Linked DNA regions of Coturnix japonica. The protein of the gene in region 1 interacts with the protein of each later gene in a pairwise test. Links are inferred from orthologs where the notes say so. Each region holds a gene or a part of one and is shown in the gene's direction. Other genes may lie near its edges.

Evidence for each region.
Region 2: the proteins of NDOR1 (region 1) and CIAPIN1 interact in binary tests that used the Homo sapiens proteins (3 or more experiments, as listed by UniProt). The two-hybrid records come from large-scale screens. The link is inferred for Coturnix japonica from reciprocal best matches to the Homo sapiens genes NDOR1 and CIAPIN1.
Region 3: the proteins of NDOR1 (region 1) and TCHP interact in binary tests that used the Homo sapiens proteins (3 or more experiments, as listed by UniProt). The two-hybrid records come from large-scale screens. The link is inferred for Coturnix japonica from reciprocal best matches to the Homo sapiens genes NDOR1 and TCHP.

The regions. Positions count from the first base shown.
Region 1 is NC_029532.1:484,310-490,042, forward strand, and holds part of NDOR1 (NADPH-dependent diflavin oxidoreductase 1), read left to right. Parts: intron 1-267; coding exon 268-366; intron 367-798; coding exon 799-900; intron 901-1,252; coding exon 1,253-1,459; intron 1,460-1,541; coding exon 1,542-1,663; intron 1,664-3,280; coding exon 3,281-3,501; intron 3,502-3,868; coding exon 3,869-3,976; intron 3,977-4,527; coding exon 4,528-4,642; intron 4,643-5,166; coding exon 5,167-5,313; intron 5,314-5,733. UniProt on the Homo sapiens protein: NADPH-dependent reductase which is a central component of the cytosolic iron-sulfur (Fe-S) protein assembly (CIA) machinery.
Region 2 is NC_029526.1:1,886,318-1,891,599, reverse strand, and holds the end of CIAPIN1 (anamorsin), read left to right. Parts: intron 1-226; coding exon 227-303; intron 304-680; coding exon 681-849; intron 850-1,036; coding exon 1,037-1,110; intron 1,111-1,396; coding exon 1,397-1,512; intron 1,513-2,029; coding exon 2,030-2,099; intron 2,100-2,651; coding exon 2,652-2,762; 3' UTR 2,763-3,840; downstream 3,841-5,282. UniProt on the Homo sapiens protein: Component of the cytosolic iron-sulfur (Fe-S) protein assembly (CIA) machinery required for the maturation of extramitochondrial Fe-S proteins.
Region 3 is NC_029530.1:5,973,794-5,979,965, forward strand, and holds the start of TCHP (trichoplein keratin filament-binding protein), read left to right. Parts: upstream 1-2,594; 5' UTR 2,595-2,640; coding exon 2,641-3,003; intron 3,004-3,186; coding exon 3,187-3,243; intron 3,244-3,442; coding exon 3,443-3,511; intron 3,512-3,894; coding exon 3,895-4,068; intron 4,069-4,514; coding exon 4,515-4,627; intron 4,628-5,021; coding exon 5,022-5,088; intron 5,089-5,500; coding exon 5,501-5,673; intron 5,674-5,887; coding exon 5,888-5,969; intron 5,970-6,164; coding exon 6,165-6,172. Other genes in the region: GLTP (glycolipid transfer protein), read right to left, coding at 371-553, 765-915, 1,038-1,171, 1,268-1,329, 1,807-1,909. UniProt on the Homo sapiens protein: Tumor suppressor which has the ability to inhibit cell growth and be pro-apoptotic during cell stress. Inhibits cell growth in bladder and prostate cancer cells by a down-regulation of HSPB1 by inhibiting its phosphorylation.

The DNA.
Region 1 (5,733 bases):
CAGGGAATGACACTAGAGCAGCAGTTCAGGCAAAACCTGAACCCAGAGTTGGGCACAGCCTGTGTGGCCTTTCAAGCAAACAGCTGCTGCATCTCCGAGCTGTCCCACAGTAAAGGGCTGAGCAAGGCTGTGTGCGCTGCTCTGATTGGACTTGCCTGTGTGCTGCTCTGGCATAGCCCTCACAGCACATGCAAGCCTGTATAGCCAATGTTTGCTGTCCTGCTGGACGAGCCCTGCTCTCCACAGCTATGATTATTCTCTGCCTAGGTTTAATTTTATTGCCAAGAAGCTGCACAAACGGGTTCTACAGCTTGGGGGCAACCCACTGCTGCCAGTTGCGTTGGGAGATGACCAGCATGACTTGGGGTAAGAGCCTCATGAAGGGGTGATGGGGTGGGGGGCTGTGTTGCACTACTGCTCCCACACTCCAGACATGGCCAGTGGCCTCCTGCTCTGTGTGAGCACGCTGGTCTCTGCTCAGGGCTCTCCTTTGCCAAGGCTGAGGTCATTTGTTTCACCGGGGTATCCCATGACCCCCAGCGTATGCCTAGGTCTTGTAGAACTGCAAGGGGTGAGTGCCTGTGCTGCAAAAGGGCATCAGAGATTGTGCCCCAGGACAGGTCCATCATCGGCCAAGAAATGTCAGACCCACCAAGGGGGGCAAAGCCACAGTTGTCCATGGCACTGCAGCCTCCCTAGCTCTGACAGTAGTGTGTATGGTAGAGGTAACATTGCTGGGGCTTGGAAGGGTGGTGAGGGAGGCAGAACTCTGTTGCAGCCTCAGTGTCTCACTTGCAGGCCAGATGCAGTGGTTGATCCATGGCTCCTAGCTTTATGGGACAAGATCCTTGCCCTGTATCCTCTCCCTCCTGGCCTTGAGGTCATCAGTCCTGATGTATGGTGAGTGTAGAGGCTTGCTGGAAATGGCTGGTGTGAAATGTCTTCTGTGGCTGTTCTCTGCTTCTAGGGTGGAGGCCAGGACACCTCCCCACAAAACTACTGATGTCCCAAGCATCCCTAAGACCTAACTGCTCCCACTAGACAGGCTTACTTTGCTCTGCTTGCTCCAACCTCTTTTAAGATCTCCTGACAGTACTGCTGCATTGTGATGTCTTACAGCTCCAAGGGGCAGGGATCATGGGTGATGGATGTTGAAGGAAACTTCAGTGTGTCCCTGCCTCCCTGTAAAGCTAAGGCAGTGGATGAGCTGTGGAATGGAGATGCACTGACTGCATTGCTATTATTCCCACAGTCTGCCCCCTAGATACACCATGCACTACCTGGCTGAGGATTCCCTGCACTCTGACAGCAGCCTCTTGCAGCCAACACCACACAGGGCTCCTCCTTCTGAGCTACATCCCTTTGCTGCCCGGATGGTGTCCAACCAGCGTGTCACAGCCGAATCCCATTTCCAGGATGTCCGGCTCATCGAGTTTGATGTCACAGGATCAGGGATCACGTGAGTGTTTTTCTGGCTCCCTCGTACTTTTTCTTGTGTGAGATCAGATGGCCATGCTCAGCAGGTCCTGCTGTATTTGCAGGTTCAGCGCAGGAGACGTGGTGATGATCCAGCCCCAGAACTGCCCTGAAGATGTGCAACAGTTCTGCCAGCTCCTTCGCCTGGATCCAGACAAATACTTTTTGCTGAAGCCCACAGAGCCTGGTAGGTGCTGCTGGCTACTCCTTTACCTCTCTGTCAGGCCTGGAGATCTGTTTTTCCTTTGCTTTAGATCCAGTAAGTAAGGAAATACAGATTTGAGAGTGGCTGGCTGATACAGAACATCTGCCTGCCTTGCAGTGCTGGGGCTCTCCTTCTCTCCCAACTCTCTATGCATATAGGTCCATCATTAGGGCTGACATGGCTCATGGGAGGGACACAGGGATACCAGTGCTGCCTTATGTCTTCAGCAGCTCAGAGCACGAAAGATCCTGCACACTCACCAGCCCAAGGCCCAAGTCAAGTTGCTCTCACTTCTGCCCCCATCCATGCCTATGATTCTTTGCTGGGGCTCGCAGGTTTCCTGGCTCTGCCTGTACCCCAGAGTCTTGATGGAGGTGCTTGTCCATACAGTGGTACCAACAACCAGGAAGTCCTCATGGAGGCACCCACTCACCAGGCATTGCTGTGGCTCTGTGGTCTGCATGGCGCCAGGAAAGGTTTCTTTTCTTTCCTCTCCCATCACTTCCCTGGTCTGAGGGACTGAAGATGGCAGGAAGTCAATATAAGATCTATTGGAAAACATCACCCCAAGACCTTCCTTTGTGCTTTAAATTGTGTTTTGGTTTGCTCCTTTCTTTCCCAACTGCCTCCAAAGGTGAAAAAACCCAGTAGACATCTTCAGCATCACAGTCTTTTTACCCATACAGGGAGAGCACAGCCTGCCTGGTGTGGTCAGCAGCAGGAAGGGAGAAGTCCTGGACCTTAAAAAGGATGCAGAGCAATTGCCAGCCCCTCTGCTTGATGCCACCTGAAGCTAGACAGTGCTGTGAGGACCCTCTAATGGGCTTCTGTGGCCTAGGAAGTGTCCAAGCTACCATGGCAGGGAACAAGTGTTCTGTCTCCAAGACGCCAGAACTCCATCCCTGCCATTTCTGAGCACTCTTGATCCTGATATGTCCTAGTGTTGGTCCCTGGCATTTCAGCCCACCTGCAGGGGTCTGCCTCTCGTGAAGAATCACAGATCCTGGTTGGTGCACTTGCAGGTCAGCATGTGAGCATCGCTGTCCTCTCAGTAGTCTGTTGTGCTGGGAAACACTTCAGTACCAGTTTGGCTCGATAGGTCAGATGCCAGATTTTGCAGAGCAATTTCCTTTATTTAGGTAGCAATGGCTGGAACTCTTTTCATCTTTCCTTTTACCCCACCTGCTGTTGCAGAGATGTTCAGAGTACCCACAGAGGTTGCAGTAGACCCTTACTTTTTAGCCAGTAATTGCTACTTCAAGACCATGTGTCTTGCCTTCCCCCCATTATCTCTTGACTCTCTGTCAGTGCTGGGATTTGGGCCTGGGAAGCAAACCCCAGAGAAATTGAAGCTGCTTCTTGCACCCCTGTAAGAGAAGGAGGAGACAAGGACAAGGGAGTGCTCAGAACCACTGATGTTCTCTGTTGCAAGCATGTGAGCTGGCAAAGCAAGCTGGGAAGAGCAGGATGGAGTGGGGGCAATGATGGTGGCTAAAGTCAGCTCCATTAGACCTTCCTGTAGCGTGTGAGTGCCCTCATGCAGCAGGGCTGGGAAGTGCCGGAGCTGGCTCTGAGCTCTCTCTGGTGCCTCTCTTACAGGCACAGCCCTCCCTGCCCATTTGCTGCAGCCCTGCACCATCCGACACCTGGTCACCCACTACCTGGACATCTCCTGCGTGCCACGGCGCTCCTTCTTTGAGCTCTTGTCCCACTTCTCTACAAATGAGCTGGAGCGGGAGAAGCTGCAGGAGTTCAGCTCTGCACAGGGCCAGGAAGAGCTGTACAACTACTGCAACCGGCCTCGCAGGACCACCCTTGAGGTTGGCCTGGGGGAGCACAGCAGATCCATCCTTGAGGACTTTGCCATGGAAATAAAGCAGCCAGGGCAGAGGAGACAGATGATGAGCAGTAATTCAATGACTGAGGAATTTAATTCACTTTTTTCTCAAGTGTCCTTGGAATAAGCAGGCTAAGACCTGCTCCAAATTCTTGGGCTCTGTTGTGGATTCTGTGTTGCAACCTGGGGACAAGGGTAGGGCAGTGAGACAGGGAGATTGGTGCTCAGAGAATCCCTGCTGTGGGGCTTTGGGTGAGGGTGGCAGTGTTACAGAACAACTTTTGCTGCCTCAGAAAAGCAGGCAGGCTGCCTTCTGAGCTGCACCAGCTTGGCTCTCCGTGGCTTTGCAGGCGCTCTGGGATTTCCCTCACACCACATCTGCCATTCCACCTGAATACCTGCTGGACCTCATCCCTCGCATCAGACCCCGCGCCTTCTCCATCGCTTCCTCCATGCTGGTAAGATCTCAGCCTTTCTCAGCCTCATGTCAGGCACTGAATTGAGTGCCAGGGCACTGCTGGTGCTGTGCACAGCACAGGTATTCAGGCTGCACTGCCTGACCCTGTGAATGTCCACAGCCCACCCGAACCCCCACTGCAGGTTAAGGTGTTTGCAGGTGTTGGGGCTTGCTTAGTACAGGCTCTGCTGTCACAGGGAACACTGGGATGTGACACTATGGAGGTTGGCAGGTGGGAAGGGTGTACTTCTGCTTCCTGCTGCTGCCAGGAGGTGGCGGTGGGATCCAGCCATGTGTCTTGGCAGATGTCAGCCCAAGCACTGATGGCATTTGCTTTCCATGGAGGGCTCTTGGCTTGAACTGTCTCTGTCACCATTGCCAACTGCACAGAGCATTCCTATGGCTGTGCTGCAATAGGAAAACCCTGCTCTGTACTGTGTCTGAGCAGCTGTTTCAAGCTGGGATGAGTGTTGCCCTGGTATGAGCTGTTCCTGGTGGAGGCAGTGAACTGTGCTAGGTATCTTGGTTCTCATGGCTCCTATCTGCACACAGGCTCACCCTGGCCGGATCCAGATCCTCGTGGCAGTAGTGCAGTACAAGACACGGCTCAGCAAGCCTCGCCGTGGTCTCTGCTCTACGTGGTTGGCATCTCTCAACCCAGAGCAAGGTAACTTTACTTGGACTATGTGAGGACCACACTATAAAACCTCATAAGCTGCGTCCTTCTGCAAATGCGACAGGCTCATGGGATTTCCGTGCTGCAGAGTGGTAGGTGATTGCTCTGACTCCAGGGCAGGTTTGGCTCTTCTCACAGTACCTAGATGGTGATTTAACACCAGAGGAGTCAAACTTAGCTCTCCTTACAGGACAGCCAGGTAGCTCTCTCTACTTGCCCCCACTGTTGCCTTCCCTTGCATATGCTGTATGAGGAAGAGGCTGTCCTGCAGCCTCTTTGCTGGGGGACTCTTTCTTTGCCCTGGGATTCACTCAGGTCCTTACAGAGACAGTCTTGAGATAGCTGAAGGTCTTTTCATGCATTCAATGTGCATGTGACACTGTGATACTGGGTGGTGGTCAGCCAGGCACAGTCCATATCTCTGGAGCATTGTGGAAGGAAGGGTTTGATGCTGTACCCCGTATTGTGGGTGCAGTGATGTTGAACTGATGCTAACCATTCTGTTCGCTTTGCAGGTGATGTCCGGGTACCTCTTTGGGTGAAGAAAGGAGGAATGAAGTTCCCAGCTGAACCTGGCACTCCTGTGATCATGATTGGCCCTGGCACAGGGGTGGCACCTTTCCGAGCAGCTGTACAGGAGCGAGTGGCACAAGGACAGAAGGGTGAGGGGTGGATGTGGGGTGCACCTTGGTGCTGGCAAGTCTATGTTCAGCAGATGGGAATGAGGAACTGGGTGCTCCTGTGGGCTTGGACAAGCTTGAGCTTTACTGTAGTTGGAAGCAAGCTGGGCTCTGAGGGAGGTCAGCACCAGAGAGAGCCTGATGTGTGCAAACTATGTGGTTATTCACAGGCTGGGCTGTCAGGCTGCTTCTTGGGGCAGGGCAGGGCTCTGAAATTCCTCTTTCTTGGTTCTCTGTAAGTGGGGTTGGTTTGCTGAGATTTTCTGCTAATGCACAAGCAGTTTTCCCTCTGCCCTTGTCATTGCCCTGGCCCACTTGTGCATCTCTGCAGAAGGCTGCTAATAAGCTCATGTCAGGGAGCTGGCAGCCCTGCAAGGGCTCATCATGCCCTACTTGCCCACC
Region 2 (5,282 bases), on another chromosome or scaffold:
TTTCTGTATGTTTCTGGAGCTAGAACCAACATTTCCACTATTCCAATGAACAAATTGCTCTGTTTTGTTCCTGCTTTTACTGGAGAAGGCCCATTTTAGAGCTGTGGTTTCCATGCTTCTTTGCAGAGATCTCTTGCTTTTCCAGGTTTCAAGTGCCATGCCTGTTTTTCAGTCACCACCATTTTTGTTCTTCCCTCTTGCTATGTCCTGCTTTTGTGTCTTCCAGAAAACAACAGCAGAATCAAGACAGCAGCCAAACTCCCTGCAGCTCTGACTCTCTCTGGGCTGGTGGAGGTGAAGGAGGTATGTTTGTACTTACTTCTTTCAGAACTCTCTCCTGCTCTTACCTAAAAGTAGACGAGGACTTGATGGACAGCAAACTGTTTAGCTGCCCTCGTGCACTGTGAATGTTCATGGATGCAGTCTGCCAGTCTTTTCTTACTGCAAATGTGGTGTTATTCTGTAGGGTTGAAGATAGGAGGGAGCCTGTCTTCTGTCATGCCTGGTGGTTCACACCACACTGATCAGCCCTTTGTGCTGCACTGCAGCTGGGACTGACTCCTCCTCTGTTCTGAGGGATAAGCCAGACACAACTGATTATCTTTGTTCACAGGAGTAGTGGATGGAGCATTGAAATAAGGTGGCTCAGTGTGAGACTAACTGAAGATCTTGCATTCCAGCTGCAAAAGGAACCTCTGACTGCAGAGGAGGCCCAGTCAGTCCGAGAACATTTGGGCTACCAAGGCAATGACCTTCTCATTGTTCAGATAGAAGGCAGGAAACCCAATTTTGAAGTGGGATCTTCAAGTCAACTCAAACTATCCTTTGCCAAGAAAACAAGTCCTTCAGGTAAAGCATGGTTTATGCTGTATGTAGGAATTGCCCTCCTCTGAAGTGACCAGCATCCCTGTGGTAGGGAGTGCTGCATAAATACCTGTGAAGTGATGCTTTCTAAAGTTGTTTGAGCTCTGCTTGCTGGAAATAGATGGAGCAGTGACTGTGGTACCTACTGTTTCTTATTTTGTTTTGGATGCAGGAAAACCCTCAGTGGACCCAGCTACTGCTAAGCTATGGACACTGTCTGCCAATGATATGAATGACGAAGAGATGGTATCCATTTTTATTTGTGAGACTTGGCTGTCATTCCTTCTCTCTTCTTTTCTACTCTAACTAGTTTCAGTCATTCCTCTTGGGAAGCTTTACAACTTAAGAAGTAGAAAAGCATCCCCAGGGCAAAATTTCTCAGGTGCTGTTTGAGGTGTTGGGTGCCCACAGGTGTGGTGAGAGTTGAGGGAAAGGTATTGTTGAGAGGGAGTGTTTCTGTGCATGTAACAGCAATGTCATTCCCTACTAACGAGTCTGTCTGTTGTGTGTTTTCTTCCATGGTTTATTCCAGGATCTTTTGGACTCTGATGAACTACTGGATTCAGAGGATTTGAAAAAGCCAGATCCAGCCTCTCTCAGAGCTCCATCCTGCAAAGAAAAGGGCAAAAAGAAAGCCTGCAAGAACTGGTCAGTGTTGAGATTAGCATGTCCGTGTACCTCTTAGCTCATAGCAATGAAACCTTAGAGGTGGATGTTTTTGAAATAGATTGTGGGAAAGCATCATTCACTTGGTTCGTGTCCTTCCCTTATCTTGGCTATTTGAATGCAAATCCAAACACAGTGAGAACTGGCTATCTGTGCCAGAACTGCTGCAAACTGCCATGGTGGTATGAGCAGCAGCCTTCTCAGAGGTAGCTGCACAGTTTGTGCAGCCTTCACTTGAATCCTGTTCCCACTGCTTTTAAGGAGGAATGGTTTACGTGGCAAATTGCTTTAGAGTCACTTGCTTCAGCTGGAGGAGTGTGCTTCAATACTTGATTTGCAAACTGGTATTGGAGAACAAAGTGCAGAGCATGAGAGTCCCAGGGCCAGCTGTGTTGTGTGACTGAGTGAGGGCTTGTTGCATGAGAGCAGTTTTGGAATGAAGATTATAACTCATAGCTTTTAATCAGAACGATGCAAGTGACTTCTTTGTTTTCTACAGCACATGTGGCCTGGCTGAAGAGCTGGAACAGGAGAAGAAGAGCTCGCAGCCCAAATCTGCCTGTGGAAATGTAAATAGTTGTTATGTTTGTGTGTTGTGGTTTGCAGGGGTGCAGTTTGTGTCTGAGAACCGACTGCAGCAGTCCTACTGCTTACTTTAAAAGCTTACTGCTTTTCAAATACTGCCTGCTTTGCAGAGCTTCTGGCTTTACCATCTCATCTCTTAGAACAGCCCACATGCTCTGCACTAGTTTGCTGTGTGCCGACAGTGCTAGTGCCACCTTGACATGAGTCAGAGTAGACAGTGACACTGTGCTTCACTTGCTCTGTGGGGAAGGTCACCTTATGGGAGTACAGTTAGGGAGCTGCCAAAGCCAGCACACAGCAGAGCTGCCCTTCTGCAGAGCTGGGCTGGAAACTTGGTTCCTTTGTGTGGGTGCAGTGCCCTGCACCAGCTCCATTACCTGCTAAACAAGCATGTGCCCAGAGGAGGTGGAAGGGAAGTGCTTTCTGTGCTGGCATATGCTGAGGAGCAGGTCATTTCTCTAGGTGGGAAAAGCATTTAATAGGAAGAGAGAACTGAGAGTTGCCATGATAAGAAGTGTTTTTCTGTCTCTTGGCAGTGCTACCTGGGGGATGCATTCCGCTGTGCCAGTTGCCCTTACCTGGGGATGCCTGCCTTCAAGCCTGGAGAGAAGATCCTGCTGAAAGAGAACCAGCTGCACGATGCCTAAGAAAGTCATCTCTGAATGTCCTGAAAGGGACCTCTCTGCTTTTCCATCAGCCTGAGATGCAGAGGTTCTTCTTACAGTTCTCCTCATCTGCTCAAATTCCTGCTCTCCAGCCAATACTCGTGGGGAGGGACACTGTGGGGTGGGGAGTGACACTGCTGTGAGCTCATCACATGTAATCAACTTTGAGCTTAGTGATAATCAGTGGTGGCCAGTGGTCTTGTATGTATTACACTTCTTAATGCTAAGCCTCATAGCTGCCTTCACTCAATACTGAGACGCTGGCCATCCCAGCCTGTCCCACCAGCAGAGGGAAGTGGAATTGTGTCAGACTGACCTTGTGTGCGGTGGTAAGAGCCTCACCAGTGCTTCCCCAAGCCCACATTGCTCCTTACCCTTATTTTACATTGTGTTAACAGCTGTGGCTCAGCCCTCAGAGTAACATTGGGCTCCTTCTATTTTGGAAGTCTGAACCTGAAATGCTTTACTAGGTGAGGGTTACTCAGCAGCTCCTATTGCAGGTCAGGAGCAGCCAGTACTCTTTGCTGTGTACTCCTTGGAAATTCATCAGGTGGGTCAGAGTTTACCATATGTTTTGAGGCTGTCACCCCCCCCCCCTCCATCACCTGTTTTGAATGACAAAGATTCATTCCCACTGAGGTAGATATCTGCTGCCCTTAAGGCAGGGAGAAAATTAACCTTGTCCTCCCCCATCTCTGACCGACAAAAACACAAGGGCAGTCTGAGACCCATCCCCTCTCTTGCTGGTTATCAAGTGAGTTACCCACAGTGTCCAATACAGAACATAGCAATAACTTAATTTCTGGTTGATACTGACGACTCTGTATTTATTTGTGTTCTTAATGCTACTGAAGCATCCTTGCAGGTGCAGGATGAGGGAGCTGCTGGTGCTCTGTGCCAGGCTTGCTTCTCACCCAGGGAAGGAGAGGAGGAAAACACAACGTGCTCTGCAGGACATGACTTCTTGTTGTTGTCCTTCCTCAGTTGCGCAATAAACTCACGTAGGGATCTGGGATGAAAAGCTGTTCTGTTCTTAAAATAAATGTGACCAATAATCAAGCATTTGTGTTAGAACTGGTATTGGTGGCATTTTACACAGGTGTCTCTCCTTTTACTTGGTTTCTGCTTGAGGCCATTAGGGACAATGTTGTAAGAGATGGGCCCCCTCAAATGTCTCCTGCAGCAGTGGGAGCGCTGCGTGCCTTCCAAACAGGGAGCTGAGTTCATCAATGATAAAGGCAGGCCTTAAAGTGAGCTCTGCTTTCCTTTCAGGGGCAAATAAGATAAGATCCAGAGGAGGTGGTGGAGGCTTTTGTTTCACCATGATTCACAGCGCTGGAATTTAAACAAGCTGGAAACACTTTCAGATACTGCAGAGTTCAGTTAATGATGGTTAAGACTGTATAATCTTGTTCTCTTCAGACAGCATTGCTGTCTGAGAGGCCCTCAGATGGGGGCAGACTCTGGCAGTGGGATATCTGGTGGGACTCTACTGCCATCATGCTGGCTTTGAGGAGTATTCATCCTTTTAGTCCCCTTCCTGGATAGTGGCCATGGTAGGGACAGGTTGGTGCTTGGATGATCTGAATGGTCTTTTCCAGCCTTGATTCTAGGCTGCTCTGCAGGTGGAAGGGATGTGCTGCAGTGTTGGGGCTCAGCAGGTCAGGTTGATAGATGGAATCATCGATCCTGAGGCTCTTTTCCAATCTAAATCAGTTTGATTCTATGAATCAATGGCTTTCTTGGTCTGAGCCATTTTCCTCCCCATCCTCTTCCTCTCCTGACCCTTTTACTGCCTCCTCTTATCATTTCACCACTGCTTCCCTCCATCTTTCCGTTGTTCTTCCCAAAACTCTCCTGCTTTCCCTCCTCTTTGCCAACCACCCATCCCTCAGGAGCAATCCTGCTTCTTGGTTTGCTTTGCTGTTCATTATTTCCCTTTGCCCTGCCCAGGTTTCTCCCCTGGGATCCACTCCTCCATCCCATATGGGTTCCCATTGCCATTTCCACTCTTGGACATGGAGAGAGATCCTTTTCTCAGCATGCAGTGAGCAAGGTGCTGTGTTTATTATCACCCCACGTTCACGTAGGCATTGATGCCTGTGTTGTGTCCAGTCTGATGACATCTTTCTGAGAACTTGAAATTCTGAGGCTCAGTTCCGGATTTTAACCCCCATAATCTACAAAGGCAGATCCCCACATTTCCTGCTTGCTCTTGCCAAAGCCCTTGAGATTTCAAGAGATTATCTCAGCCAGTTCCTCATGTTGTCACGGTAAGTAACTCCACGTCTTGCTTGCTTCTTTATTGGGGTTCTCCCTGGTTTTGGCTTGCTCCTGTGTGCCCCTTCTGTGCCTGACCCCACCACACTCAGCTGTGAGATAGAGTTCTGAATTCTGAATGCCTTTGCTGTCACATCGTTGTGGTTTTTCCTCCTGGTGAAGCAACGGGCTGAGCCTCCTCTGCCTTCCTCTGGTATTTGATGCAGTTGCACAAGCAGAGAA
Region 3 (6,172 bases), on another chromosome or scaffold:
TCTGCAGCGCTGGAAGGGTTGGAGGCAACGGGATGGTCATGGCTTGGGATCCTCAGTTCCTCTGCTGTGGGGTCAGAGAGGTGTTGGGTGCCCGGAGCTGTGTGAGACCCAAAGCCCAGCAGCACCAACAGGATGAGGCCACCCATCAAACGTCATTCCCTGCAACAGCTCCTGAGGAACGTGGATATTTTTCCTCTGTGCTATAAAAGCTTGGGAAATCTTGAGGTGCCCCCAGGGTACAACTGGTTTATTGCTTGAATTTCGATAGAAAATGAATGATTCTTGTTAGAAAAAAAGGCCTGTCGGGTGCAGATCCGCAGCAGGATGGGGTTTGAGGAGCGGAGCGGCCCCGCTTGTTGCTCTGACCCCATTAAGCTTTGTAGCTCAGCTCGGCGTTCATCCGGGTGTACATCTCATAGATGGCATCCAGGATGGGAGTCACCCTGGTGAGGAACTGGTGGATCTTCTCAATGCTCTCCTCCTCCTTCACCTCTCTGCCTTTCTCCAAAGCCTTCAGCAGATCTGACTTGTAGGGCAGCGCATAGACCGAGCCCTGTGGGATGGGGTGAGAGCAGAGCTGAGCCTTGGCTGTGGGGATGCCCAAAAGCCAATGGGACCCCCATGTCCCACTGCCCACCCCACAGCGGGGTGACCCCATGAGCAGCAGCTTATGGCACCTTAGAGACATGGCATGGAGAGGATGGCTCATCTCAGAGGTCCTTCCCAACCTTAATGGTTCTATGACCCCCTGCCCCGGCTCTCACCATGAAAAGCTTCTGCAGCATCCAGCCGTGGTATTTCTTGAGGGCAATCTCATAGGCTTTCATGGCATTGACACGGATGAGGTTGGGATGCTCCTCATCCCGCTCGCCATCGGAGATGCTCTGCAGCAGCACCAGCATGAACTTCAGGCCCCTGCCAGGGAGAAGGAGGCTGGTACCGTGACCCCAAACCCGCTGTGGGGTGACACTCTGACCCTGAGCCCTACACGACCCCCAGCCCCACATTAGGGGCGATATAACAACCCAATCAATCACCTCTTCAGCCACATCAGCGCCAGCGTGGCTCCGGTCTTAGGCCATGCAGCACCGTGCATTTCCTTCTCCACCTCCAGGATGTTCTGCAGCGTTTTGAACTTGCTGGGGTTGGACTCATAAACAGCCCGGATCTTCTATAAGGGTACAGAGGTTTGGGGTCAAGGTGGGCACCCACAGCCGGGTCCTGCAGTGCTGTACATGGGGTGGTGACCCCCCCCACAACCTCATACCTTGATGTTCCCAGCCAGGTCGGCTTTGACGGGTGAGTACACGATGGGTGTCCCCAGGCAATCTGCGGGGACAGGGGGTCACAATGGCTTCGCCCCGTGCCCGGCTGTCCCCGTATGGCTCCGTACAATGGCGCATTGTATGGAGCGGAGGTTCGGCCCCGTTCTGTCCCGTTCTGCCCCATTCTATCCCGTTCTATCCCGTTCTGTCCCGTTCGGCCCCGTTCCATCCCTGTACACCCCGGGGGTTGGGTCGGGCCGTTTCCTAACGCTGTCGCTCAGCGGGTCGGACGGGACGAGCCGCCACACCCGGCCCTGACGCAACTGGGGCGGGACCGGGGGCGGGACCGGGGGGTGCGGACCGGGACCGGGACCGGAACCGGGGCGGGGGTGGAAGCTTGGGGGGGTGTGGGACCCTATAATGGGATCCCGGGACCGGACGGGGCTGGTGTTGCTGAGCGTTCCGTGCCCGCGGGTGGCGGCGTCCCGGTTCGGTCCGGTCCCGGTCCGGCAGGTTCCACAGCCCCTGGCCCAGCTCTTACCGAAGAATGGCGGCAGGTGGGACACGGCCTCCAGGAACGGCAGCGTCTCGATCTGTTTGTCCGCCGGCAGCGGCCGGAACTCGTGCTCTAATAGCAGCGCCATGAACCGACCCGGCACGGACCGAACCGACCCGGCACCGACCCGGTAGCGCGCCACGCCGAGACACGCCCATCAATGAAGCCAACCAATGGGTGAGCACGGCCCACCGAGAGGCGGCCAATAGGAATGAGAGGGCGGGACTTGTCCGGGTGAGTAGGCGGGGCTTATGGTAGAGGTGGGCGGGGCTTGTCTCAATGTGGGCGGGGCTTACGGTGTGCGCCCATCCCGGTATCGACCGGGACCGGACCGGGACCCCCAGCCCGAACCGATGGGGTGGGGGGTGTCCGCTGTGCCTATGGAGCACCCAGTGCCTATGGTGCAATCACAGCCGTCCCACCGGGCTCACTGCGGGCGCTGCGATCGGGTGGCAGTGAATGATTCAGCCGGTGTCCCGATGGACGGAGCTCAATGAGCCGAACCGGGCTGAGCACGAGGCCCGTCCGCATCCCGTTACAGCTCCATACAGCCGGACACCTATGGGCGCTATGGATGCGCTGAATGAGGCGTGGGGCGACTCCTGACAGCGCCCAGCTGTGCTCAGGGCCAGGAAACACAAACCTTCCACCGTGCTGAAATATTCACAGCTCCATTAATACTTAAAGCACTGCAGCTCATGTATTGCGGCCTCATCCCGACCCGCGAGGCCAATTCGTTCACCCCGATGCTTTTTGTCCCTCGGCGCTCCCCGTACCCGTTGCCATGGTGACCCTCGCGGCCTACATTAGGGCCTAGTGATGGCGCAGTGGCGGCCGGCGCTGGGCCGGGCCCTGGAGCGGCAGCGGGAGAGGGAGGCGAAGAACCGGCTGCAATGGGACACGTACAACCGCTCCTTCCAGCTCGCCGCGTTCTCCTGCTCCGCTCAGGCCCGTTGGAGCGAGCCGCAAAATGCGGGCGGCACGAGCACGGGGCGGGGTGAGGAGGAAGGGATGAGGAAGCGCAGGGAGAGACTGAGGGAGATGCTGGGCGCTGAGCGGGACGCGCTGGAGGCTGAAATACAGGCCGAGATACGAGCGGAGCCCGGCGGGATGGAGGAACATGGAGGGATGAGGAAGCGCTGTGAGGAGCTGAGGGCGGCACGAGAGGAGAGAAGGAGGCAGGTGAGAGATATGGGGGGGATGGGGCTGAGCTGGGCCGTGTGGGACCCATATACTGACACTGCTGTGTGGGACCCATATACTGACACTGCTGTGTGTGTCCCATATACTGACACTGCTGTGTGGGACCCATATACTGACACTGCTGTGTGGGACCCATATACTGACACTGCTGTGTGTGCTTAGGTCGCCGAGAAGCTGCTGCGGGAGAGATGGAAACAGAACAGCGAGGAGCTGAGGGAGGTGAGGAGTCACGGCACGGGATCCCCACAAGGGTGCTTTATCCCAAGGGTGCTTTATCCCAAAGTCCATCTGTTCCCACTGCCTGCAGTGCTCAGGGACACCCACAGCTCCATCAGTGCTCACAGCACCATCCCCTGACTGTGGGTGTCTGCAGGTGCTGGCAATAGAAAAAGGCTCTGACAGCGCTGACTCTCTGCAGGTGGAGTCAGAGCTACACAAGAAGAACGTGGTGGAGTCCTGGGGTGAGCAGCTGAAGCAGAAGCAGCAGGTATGTTGGAGCTGCATGAAATGTGGGCTGTAAGCAGCTGGTATTCCTGTACTACCTGGACTAGGAGCTGGCTATTTGTTTTCTTTTGTACTATATAGTGACTGAGTTGGCCTTGCTTGTTCCCATAGTGGTGCGAGGTTCTGGTGTCTGCAGGATGCTTGGAGTTGATGGGAAGTATCTCATCTCCTAGAAAATCCAATGTTATCTGCTGAACAGATCTATTTAGTCTCATTTTCTCATTTCCTTCCCTAGCACATCTTATCCTGTGTCCTTCAAATAGGTGTCAGCTTCCTGGAAGCTGATTTGAGCATCTCCTGAACCACAGGCTGTTCCTTTGAGTTTAGTCTAACCTGAAATGCAATGCTTTCTTTTGGCTCAATAAGCAACAAGCAACGGAACGAGGAGAGAGAAAGCTTCTTGAAAATGAATGTGAAATGGCACGAAGGGAAGCTGAGGAAAGAATGAGACAAGAGGAAGAGAAACGTCAGCTGGAGAACAAGAAGCAAGGGGAGCTGTTGCTTCAACAGATAGAAGAACTGAAATTACGGGAGGCAGAGGTAACCTTCAGCTTCTCCTTGTGTAGGAAGAAAGTTCATTGCTTCACTTGGAAACACAGCAATGCTGACTTGACCTCTTCCTTCCAGATTTCCCCCTAGATTAGATTTGGAACAAAGTCAGCTGTGCTTTGTAATGCAGATCTCTCTGTGAATACAGGCATGTTAAATGACATCTCGTAGGCTTCATTTGCACCTCTTGAAATGTGGGCACCCTTCTGTGCTGTATTGGATGTAGAAACACTGCAGTGTGAGAGGTTGCAGTAGCTTTTTCAGCTGAAGCTCCTCACCTTCTCTCTTATGCTGTGAGTCAGTAGGATGCAAATGGTGTGGAGTATCTACCACGATTATGAGTGTGGTACAAGCTGGTACTGAGGCTCACTGGGATGTCTTAGCTCTCTGAAGCACTCACTTGGTTATTGTTTGTTTCTCCTTTTCAAAAATGTTAGGCAGCCAAGCTGAAGAAAGAGCAAGAGGATTTATTAAAGCAGCAGTGGGAGCTGGGAAACTTAGAAGAAGAAAGAAAGCAAATGGAAGAGCGCCGGAAGAAGACTGAGCTTGGGTATGCAATGTAGCTCTAAGCAGTGGTGGATGGGATCTCTTCCTGTGACCATGATAGTACTTGCAGCAGGAGGAGATGTTTTAGATAGCAGGGGTGGGCAGCAGATGCTTGCTTGTTTTGTTGGAAGTGCAAGAACAGCTACTGAGCATAAATGCATTGGTGCCATTGCTACTTTTTGCTCGTGTTAGAGGTAGCAGGTATCTCTGTTGCCTCTGTGTATTTTAATGTTGTAAATGCACTTTCTGGAATGCTGGTATACAATATAATAGGGCTTTAGAGATGGTCTGAATGCTGGTATACAATATAATAGGGCTTTAGAGATGGTCTGAATGCTGGTATACAATATAATAGGGCGTTAGAGATGGTCTGAATTTGTTTTGTTTTCTTCCTTCAGTCGCTTTTTGTTGCATCAATATGATGCCCAGTTAAAGAGACGAGCCCAGGAGGTACAGGACGAGCTGGTAAGAGGAAAATACCTTCTGATTTGTGCAATATAGATAATAGAATCATAGAATTACCCAGGTTGGAAGAGATCTTGAAGATCATCAAGTCCAACCGCACCCTAACCAGTACCCTGACTCTAAAAACCCTCCACTAAATCATACCCCTGAGTAGATACTGCCTGCTGAAGGAACTTGTTGTGTTTCATGTATGTGTCTGCCTCCAGTGCCTACAGATAAGCAGTTAGGAGGCCTCTTCTGGCTTATGAACAGGGCTGGAGTGAAAAGATCAGAGAGAAGCAGGCAGTCAGAGTGTCTTTCTGAGGACACCCTTGACACTATGTCACCAATGATTTGTACAGAGTACTAAAGTACACAGGCTGGAAGCCCGCTGGATGGTTATTAATCTTTAGGGGTTTTTTTTCCCCTCAAGGAAACAGACAGACAAATCTTATTAGCCATCCTTGAGAAAGAAGAGGAGGATCAGCGCCACAAGGCTGAAAAACGAGAGCGAGCTGTTGCAGACGCTGCCTGGATGAGAAATGTCATTGAGGAACAGCTCCAGTTAGAAAAGGAGAGGGAGGCAGAGCTACAGGTTATTTATAGGTGTGTATGCAGCTCTGTTATACATCGTCAAAAGGGAATGTATGTGCTGGATGTTCTTCTCTATGTGGCAGAGCTCATTTCTGTTTGTTAAATAGGTGATCATCTAGAGGTGGACACTAAAAAGAGGTGCCTGGTAGGCCTTGCTGTTGTAGAAATGTGCCTGTTTATTTAAGTAAGGAGTAACCTCAGAAAGGAATCTTTCTTTCACCTTCAGGGAAGAAGCTAGAAAAATGTGGGAGAAGAGGGAAGAACAATGGGCAAAGGAGAAGATGGCCAGAGATCGCCTGATGAATGAGGTGATGACTTCTTTTAATGAGGTGTCTCTTGGTCTGACAAAGCTGTTGTTCCAGTTGTGACCTTCCAACCCCCAGAGGGTCACAGCCTTCTGTATTCGAGTCTTTCTGTTCTCCTGATATATTTTTCTGATAACAGTTTGCTTCCATGTCTGGTCTCTTCCTTATCTTCTTTCTTAATCATCTCATTTCACACAGGTCCTCGC